Linked DNA regions of Cricetulus griseus. The protein of the gene in region 1 purifies or fractionates together with the protein of each later gene. This does not show direct contact. Links are inferred from orthologs where the notes say so. Each region holds a gene or a part of one and is shown on either strand. Other genes may lie near its edges.

What was found.
Region 2: the proteins of Otud6b (region 1) and Otub1 fractionate together in Homo sapiens (co-fractionation; 4 studies listed by BioGRID and IntAct, with this or other methods). This does not show direct contact. The link is inferred for Cricetulus griseus from reciprocal best matches to the Homo sapiens genes OTUD6B and OTUB1.

The regions. Positions count from the first base shown.
Region 1 is NC_048595.1:128,752,344-128,756,952, reverse strand, and holds the start of Otud6b (deubiquitinase OTUD6B), read left to right. Parts: upstream 1-1,793; 5' UTR 1,794-1,870; coding exon 1,871-1,952; intron 1,953-2,598; coding exon 2,599-2,750; intron 2,751-4,609.
Region 2 is NC_048596.1:52,251,801-52,256,145, reverse strand, and holds the start of Otub1 (ubiquitin thioesterase OTUB1), read right to left. Parts: upstream 2,991-4,345; 5' UTR 2,899-2,990; coding exon 2,841-2,898; intron 828-2,840; coding exon 766-827; intron 521-765; coding exon 422-520; intron 1-421. UniProt on the Homo sapiens protein: Hydrolase that can specifically remove 'Lys-48'-linked conjugated ubiquitin from proteins and plays an important regulatory role at the level of protein turnover by preventing degradation.

The DNA.
Region 1 (4,609 bases):
CTAAGAGCTGAATGTCTCTAACCACAAGCTGGAAATAGAAAAACTACAAAGTCACAAAACCACCACCATCATTATCACACCACCACCACCCCACCACAAAATTGCATGGCACATAGCCTGGGAATCAAAAAGCCAACCCCCAATAACATACTTTCACCACCAATGCCATAGCTCCTAAACCTACCCAAACAGTGCCACTAACTGGGGACCACAAATTCACACATGTAAGCCTTTGTGGGGGGCATTCTCATTCAAATTACCATGTTCAACTTATTGGTCCCTGAAGCCTAGTGTCTATATTATAATGCAAACTGTATATAGTCCAACTCCATAAATCCCTATAGTCTCTAAATTTGGCAGGTATACAGGTCTCATATCAAAACTACTTTTCTCTATGATTTGTATTCCAATGTTTTCTAGCATTTAGAGTTGCAAGAAAAAAAATTTACGATCATAACTTGATTTCTCAGTAGTCTGGATACTTTCCCCTCCTCTGACATTGAAAATGGAGAAAACAGAAAACATCTAGATGTTTTCTCTTCACAAGAATTTAAATGTACCCCTACTAGCTTTATCCAGTGTAGGCCCAGTTCATTGTCCATCTCTGGAAAACTGTCTTCCATTCCTTCCAGAATAGTTGTTTCAACTTCATTTGTTTTGTTCTTTTTCAGGCATTCCTATTAGTTAACACACACACACACACACACCCCAAACAAAAAACTCAACGTATTAAAGGTGTGCACCACCACCCGGGACTCAACACACTTTTATTAAACACACACACACACACACACACACACACACCCCAAACAAAAAACTCAACGTATTAAAGGTGTGCACCACCACCCCGGACTCAACACACTTTTATTAAACACACACACACACACACACACACACACACACACACACACCAAACAAAAAACTCAACGTATCCTAAGGGTACCAACACTAAACAATGTTTCAAAGCGCGCGCGCGGCGCGCGCACACCCCCCCCCCCCACACACACGGACACACACAGACACACACCCCAAACAAAAAACTCAACGTATCTACACTAAACAATGTTTCAAAGCACACACGCACACACACACACACACACACACACACACAGACACACAGACACACACACACACAGAGACACAGACACACACACACACAGACACAGACACACACACACACACACACACGGACAGACACACACAGACACACAGACACACAGACACAGAGACACACACAGACACACACACACACACACACACACAGACACAGACACAGACACACACACACACACACACACACACACACACACACACACACACACACAGACACACACACACACACACACACACACACACACACACACACACACACACACACACACACACACACACACACACACACACACACACACACACACACACACACACACACACACACACACACACACACACACACCCCAAACAAAAACCTCAACGTATCCCAGCGAAGGGTACCAACACTATGTTTCAATGTTTCAAAGCACAAATTGAAAGCTGCGCGTTCGTGACGTCATCTCAACGCGCCTCCCATCAAGGCCAATCGCCTGGCGCGTAGCCTGGCGCTTTGGAAACTCGCGCGCCAGGAGCGTGTTCCGTCGCGGAGTCTCAGCTTCCGGCGCGCAGTCCAGAGCGGTGCGAATGCGCAGGCGCTCTGGCTCATGCCGGCTTCTCCGGGTTTCAGTGGTTAGCCCTGGATCCGGAGCCGCCTTGAGGCGGGGCTGGGCCTTGGCGGCGGCCAATGGCGCCCGGGGTGAGGGTTGAGGGGTGGGAGGTGCTGGCCTGCTTGCCGTGTGCCGCTCGTCCGGCGCGTGTGCCCGGCCACCTGGTCGTCATGGAGGAGGCCTTGGTAGAAGAGCTGGACGATGAGGAGCAGCTGGTGAGAAGGCATCGCAAGGAGAAGAAGGAGCTGCAAGGTGACGGCAAAGGGGCTGGGAATCTAAAGGTCGTCCCCACCCAGGGCTGGGAGCGTGGCGTGTGACCCCGAGGACCTGGAGGGGCGACCGGCCTGCAGCCTGGATTTCCCCGCAGATAACTTTGGTGTGTCTTCTCCAGCCTTCCCCGCTCTCTCGGACCCCCGTTTGCAGTCCTCGGAGGTGTCCCGTTGGGCTGCCTGCAGTGCACCCCGAGGCGGTGCTTCGCTTTTGCTGCTGGTGATGTCCCTGGAGGCCGAGGTCTTGGCCCTCCTCTGCCACCCTTCCCATTCCTGCCTGGTTCCGAACACTTGACCTTAATGGTGTGCTCAGAATTGCTTTTCTTTATTCTTATGGTCGCAGAAGAGCTATTTGAGAGGCAGAAGTTGTGTAATTTACAATTTAATAATTGCTTTTCTTAACTTTATTTTGCCCCGTCAAACCAAACATTCATGGCGGTTGTGTTTAAGAGGTGTATGTTGAATCTCAAGCCTCATCCGGGCTTTTTTCTCTGTAGCTGATTGTTGTGTCATGACTAATTGCTTCTATAATTACATTACATTCTGTAATTATGCCTCTTGACATCTTACTCCTGCTGTTCGCTCTCTCTTCCTGGTGCTCTGACACGATGGTTTTGGTAACCTTTTAGCCAAAATTCAGGGAATGAAGAACGCTGTTCCCAAAAATGACAAAAAGAGGAGGAAACAACTCACTGAAGATGTAGCTAAGTTGGAGCGAGAAATGGAGCAGAAACACAGGGAAGAACTGGAGCAATTGAAGCTGACTTTGAAGGAGAGTAAGGTATGGGGAATAAAACTTGTTTCTGAGCCTTTGGAAACAACCGTCTGTGCTTGTTGAACTCCTTACTGTGTACATTCACAAAATTGGAAGTGAAATCAAGTCATGCAGTCACATTTACACATCACATTTCAACGTTACTATTTTTTGAGACAAAGTGTTATATAGTTCAGGCTGCCACCATCTGGGTTTGTAGCAGAGGATAACCTTGAACTTTAGATCTTATTGGCTTGGCCTCACAAGTGCTGGGATGCACCACCACACCTAGCTTTCCATTTCCTCAGTATTTTGGGACCAGGTTTATTATTTCTTTAAGGGAGATGAGCAAAGAGGGAACTACTTACTTAACCTAGTGATGAATGTGTAAAGCATAAAGTGTTCTAGAGAAGGTTTCTCTTGAGTGGACAATGGAAGACTAGACTTCTTGTCAAGGATTACTGATGAATAAGATGTAGCCTCTGAAAAGTTACTCAAGCAACCCAAGAATAAATTTCTCCACTTACGACATGGTGACAATTGTTTTGTGTATGGTTAAGGTTCCTATGAAAAACAAATGGGGTGACAAATGTGAAATCATGTTGAAGTTATAAAAAGTGCTTTGTGATCCAGTTGTAATGAATGAAGTTTTAGAGATGCTTCTTGTGTAAATGGGACCGCGATAACATGCATCTTTTCAGTGTTTATCATTCGACCTAGTGGTATATGCCAGCCACTTTGTTCACTGTATGGTATCTAGTATTTCAGTTAATTGTCAGTAATACTGTAAATAATACCTGTAAAATAAATGTAGATAATCACACTTTTCCAGTAGGAAACACACTTAGAAAGATTTAAGATCTTTATCTTAAAGTCATAATAGCTACTGAATGCCAAAAGCTAGAATTCAAAACTAGGCCATCAATTGGGCAGTGACTGGCAAACATCTTTAATCCCACACTTGGGAGGCAGAGGCAGTTGGATCTGAGTTCAAGGCCAGCCTGGTCTTGAGAGTGAGTTCTAGAACAGCCAGAGCTACACAGAGAAACTCTTTCTCAAAAACTAACCAACCAAACAAAAACAAAACCAGGCTATCTTTATACCTTTGGGTAACATAGTAATTTGTTGCATAGGTTTTGGAGATGAAGAGTCATATATTCCGCAACTTTAGTTAACTGTTGTTAGGAATTTCTTAGTTCTATGCAAGATCTCATCTTCCATAAGTTTTCATTCACTTTTGTTCTGTAGACAAGGGTAGAGTGTCTTCGTGTCCATTTACACAGAGTATTAAATATAGTTTCAAAATCTTTAATTTCATTACCCAGCCATCATGTTTGTGGCCTCTCTTACTGTTAAAATACTTTTATCTCCAGCTTGGCATGGTAGTACATCCCTATAGGCCCAGCACTCAGGAGTTTGTGAGTTTGAAGCCAGCCTGGGCTACATAGCAAGACCCTTATCTCAAAACCCAAAGTGTCAAGAAAACTTTTTTCGTCAATGCCATTATAGCTCACCAGGTAAAGGGGTGCTTGCTGTTAAGCCTGATATCCAAGTTCTATCCCTAGAACCTCCACGTAAGAAAGAGAAAATTGACTCTCATAAGTTGTCCTCTGACCTCCATATGCTGTTTGACATGTGCACACACACACAGTTAAGTGTTCTGTCATGTCAGGATTGTGCTGTTCCTAATTGTCTCCTGTGTTTTCCAGTAGCAGGATGTTTTGTTTGCTCTCTTAGGCTTTCAGTTTCAAGATTTTCAAAGAGAAAGAAAAGTTTGATTCTTAACCATATTTCACTTACCCGCTAAGATGCAAATTCTCTAGTCTGCCTTGTCTTCCTTTTCATTAACTTAAACTTGTTTTCTTTTTAGTCTCTACCTTAATCTG
Region 2 (4,345 bases), on another chromosome or scaffold:
CCAACAGACAGACAGACTGTAGGACAGGTCTCTATATAACCCATCTACCCATCCCAACACCAGCAAGTTTGTCCCCTGGCTGGGTACTGAATTGTCAGTGCCCACCCAGCCTGCACCTGGTCCCACCTGAGCATCACCTACCTCAACCTTACAGCCACCCTACAGGCAGATGCTTTCACTGTCCCTATTTTACAGATGAGGACATTCAGGGCTCAGAGACACTGAAGGACCTGCCAAGAAGACAGCTGCTGAGTGGCAATCTGATGTGAATGGAGGTCTCAGTCCAGAGGCTGCACACTTCAAGAACTAGCAATGAGAGGTGTGTCCCAAGCCCCCCAACACCCTACCCTCTCAAAGATTAGGCCTGGCAAAAAGCAGGGCTGAAACAGGCTTCCTCCTGCCCCTCTGGCCAGGATCCCACCTTGATCTTCTGTTGATAGATGTTGTCATCCTCAGCATACTCCTTGTACAGGACTGAGAGTTCCAGCCGCTCCGACACCAGAGGATTCTGCACAGCAATCTGCAGGAGGCAGGGATCCATCATGCTCTGGCACGGAAGTTGAGTAACCCACACCTAACATCTACAAAAGGGGTTCTGGGCTGGTCATTCAGTGGCACAGCAACCCCCATAAATGCATGGAGTGCCTAGCATAGACTGGAGGGGAGGGGAGGGCTTCAAAACAGACACTAGGCCTCAGGCCCTGACTATACACCCAACCATAAAATCCTCAGATTCTGCCTCCCCAGCCTTCTCCAACCTCTCACCTCTTGTTGAATTCGGTCCTGCTGAGCCATAATGGCTTCATCATAGGCCAGACAGTTAACACCTAAAAAAAAAAAAAAAAAAAAAAAAAAAAAAAAAAAAAAAAAAAAAAAAAAAAAAAAAAAAGAAGAAGTGCCAAGCAAGGGTTACTGTGGGGACCTGGCTATCTCTATGGCAGGCAGCTTTGGCAGAACAGGTTTGGAATATGGAGCCCCGTGTCTTATATTCCACTGTGTAATCTTGGCAAAGTCCTTCCTCTTTAGGTTTTCACTTCCTGTCTTTTGGAGAAGGTAGCTGTTCCGGTATGGTGTTATTTGCAAGGGTAAATCAAGAAGACCACAAGTTCAAGGCTACTGGAGCTACACAAAGCCTAGTCTCCAAAAATAAAATAAAAGGGGGGGGGTGTAGTGTGAGCAGCACAGTGCACAGCTCTAAGTCCCAGCACTTACAGACCAGACCAGGAAGATAAAGAAGCCTAGGAGTTCAAGATCAACCCTGGAAATACACAAGGCCTTATCTTGGAAGAAAACAGGTCTGGGGTTGAGGCTCAGTGGTAGAAAATATATTTGTCCTGCAGGTGTAAGCCCTGGCTTCTATTTCTAGCAACCCGAAAAAGCAGTAAATAAAAAATGACAAGCCAGGCAGTGGTGGCGCACACCTTTAATCCCAGCACTCAGGAGGCAGAGGCAGGCGGATCTCTGTGAGTTCGTGCCCAGCCTGTTCTACAGAGCAAGTGCCAGGACAGGCTCCAAAGCTACAGAGAGAAACCCTGTCTCGAAAAACAAAAAACAAAACAAACAAAAAAGTGACAAAATAAAGATCACTATCAAGACACTCTTCCAGCCTTGCTATTCCTTTTTCCCTGATTTCTAACATTATCTGTAGCATCCTGGCTGGGGAAGGGAGTCTCTGGGGGAAAGCAAGATGAGGTGGGTGGAGCCCTAGGTGGAATGAGAGCATCTCTCCAACAAGCACTTTGCTGGGACACACCCTTTATCCTTCTGTGGTCCTATTGCTAATGGTGCTCATTTTGCAAATAACAAATGCAAAGAAGCGACTCCATCTTGCCCAAGGTCAAAACCAGTGAAGAGCTGTGGGCATGTCCACATCTGTACAATTCCAGTCTGAGCTCTTGGCAATGTCACTTGCACTGCACTGCGAAGCCCTCTACCCTTACCTGAAGAATGGATTAATGCCAACACCTTGCTCCCATCATCAAAATACACTGGGATCCTGAAAGCACCAAGTAATACTTAAGCACTCTCTAGAGGCATCCATGGATTTGGGAGGTTCATCCTGTGGACCCTACTCCAAGCAACTATTGGATAGGGGTCAGGAGACACTAATTCTAGTCCGGAATCCTTCTTAGATATATGATCGAGAACAATTTCTTTCTTCGTACCTGGGTTTGCTAGTCTAGAGTGTAGAGTTAGAGCAGGGTGTGCATGTCCAGGTTCTCAGCTGAGCCTATGTCCCACAACAGGGCGGTCCCTCCCACTAGAGAAACTTAATCCCCAGACCCCAAGTTCATGCATGGTAGACATGGAGAGGGCGTGACCGGTTTTTTTGTTTTAAGGACCAGAGAACTAGGAAAACAATGCCTGCATCTGCTAGGGGAGGCCAGACGAGCTCTAACGAAGAGGGCTGCAGGCAGCATCCCGAACGCCCCACAGGGGACTTCATGCTTGGCAGCTCGGCGTCACTCAACGCCGTTCGGCTGTTCGGGTAAGGGCGGGCGGCTCGGCCCAGGCCTAGGCCTCGGCTTGACTGCGAGGACTCGGGCAGGCTGACTTGGCGAGCCGGCCGAGGCCGCGGGACGGGTGGAGGCGGGGCGGCCCAGGCCCCGCCCCAGGCGTGCACCAGAGGCCGAGCGGCGGTCCTCACCGCCCCGCCCGGCCGGGGGTCGCTGCGGGCCTGCTTCCATTGTGAGGGGGAGGGGAGAGGAGGAGGAGGCGGAGGGCTCCGCGGCACGCTGCGCCCGGGCCCCGGCGGCCCTGCCTCCCGGAGCTCCTCGGGAGCGGCCGACCGAACCTCGCCCCCGCCAGCCCCGGCAGGACATCGTTCCCTTGGTCCGTACCTTCGGAGTCGCTGCCCAGCGGCTCCTGCTTCTGCTGCTGAGGTTCCTCCGCCGCCATCTTTAAACAGCGCCGCACTGCCGACCGCTTCCGGGTTATTAATCGCCCTCCTCCCGGAAGGGAGCCCCTCCTCGTGGCCCCTCCTTCGCAACGCCCCTAGCAACAGGCTCCCCTTGGCGGTTGTCAGGGGCTGGGCAGCTCCTGCGGGCCCTGGAGAGCCCGGGGGCCCGTGACCCCAGGAGACGCGGGGGGCGCGGGCGCGCGCTTCCACATCCCCACCCTCCTGAAGGTCATGAGGTGCTAAGGGCCCCCTGGAGTTGCTTCTGTTTTCGGTCTACTGGACTTTAGCTTTAAAACGCAGGTTGTGTAATTGAGATAAGGAGCAAGATGGAATTAAAGTCACGGAAGGCAACATCCCTTCTGCGCGTGCACTCGAGGTACACGAGCCACCAAAGCTGCAGTGCGGAGCGCGGAGCCACCACGAGACAGGAAGTGGTGCCAACATCCTGATGCCCTTCAGAGCCCTTAAATCGAGACCTCTCGCCCCTCGCCACTGAGCCTGTTCTCTGCAAGCTTTGAAGACCTGTTTCTAATAAGAGGACATCTTTCCCTTGATGTCGAACCAAAAGCCTCGACCTGGTTGAGGAAGCAGGTCCATTTAAAAGCATGGACTTAAATCCATAATCCGAACACGTGGAAGGTGGAGACAAGGATCAGAGAGTTCAAGGTAATCCTCCAGTTTCAGGACAAGCTTGGCTTCATGAGACCCTGTCTCAAAACTGGGCCCAAAAGTGACCATCCTTGCTAATTTTTACCAAAGCTTCCCCTATTCCTTGGGTTGTATCTCTAAACTGTTAAATGGGGGCAGACCAGTAGAAAAAAGAACACTCTCATTTGCAGGCCCAAGGCACCCTGAAATGCAAACACCAAACTGAATTTGCAGGAGGAAGGTGTTCATTTATTTGGTTGGTAGCCTTGAAGGGTAAATGGGCTATATCCCTAGCTGCAATGCTTACAAGCCTGGCTATAGCCAGCACTGAGCCACAAAGGGACTCCTTTTTATTCTCCAGTGTAGCAGTTCTCTGTCCTGAGCAGTCCCAACTCCAGCTCCTGTATGAACTCCCTAGTCCAGGTAACAGAGACCATGGTAGAGTTGTTTTGTAGTTCTCTTCAAGATTAAGAAAAAACTACAGGCTAGGGGGCATGGTGCACACCATTAATTCCAGCACGCAGGAGGCAGAGGCAGGTGGATCTCTTCCTCTACAAGACAGAAGCCAGCCTGGTCTACAGAAATTCTAGCTTACTGAGGTCTACACAATGAGACTCACAAAACAAACGTAAAAAGAAAAGCCAAATAGAAATCGTGTCTTTTGTTAATTTTATTGTCTTACTGTATGGGAGGCTGTATGTACCAAGAGGCTTGTGTGAAAGTCAGAGTACAACTTTAGGAAACCCATTCTCTTTCCATCTTTATATGGGCTCTGGAAATAAAACTTTGGTCGTCTGA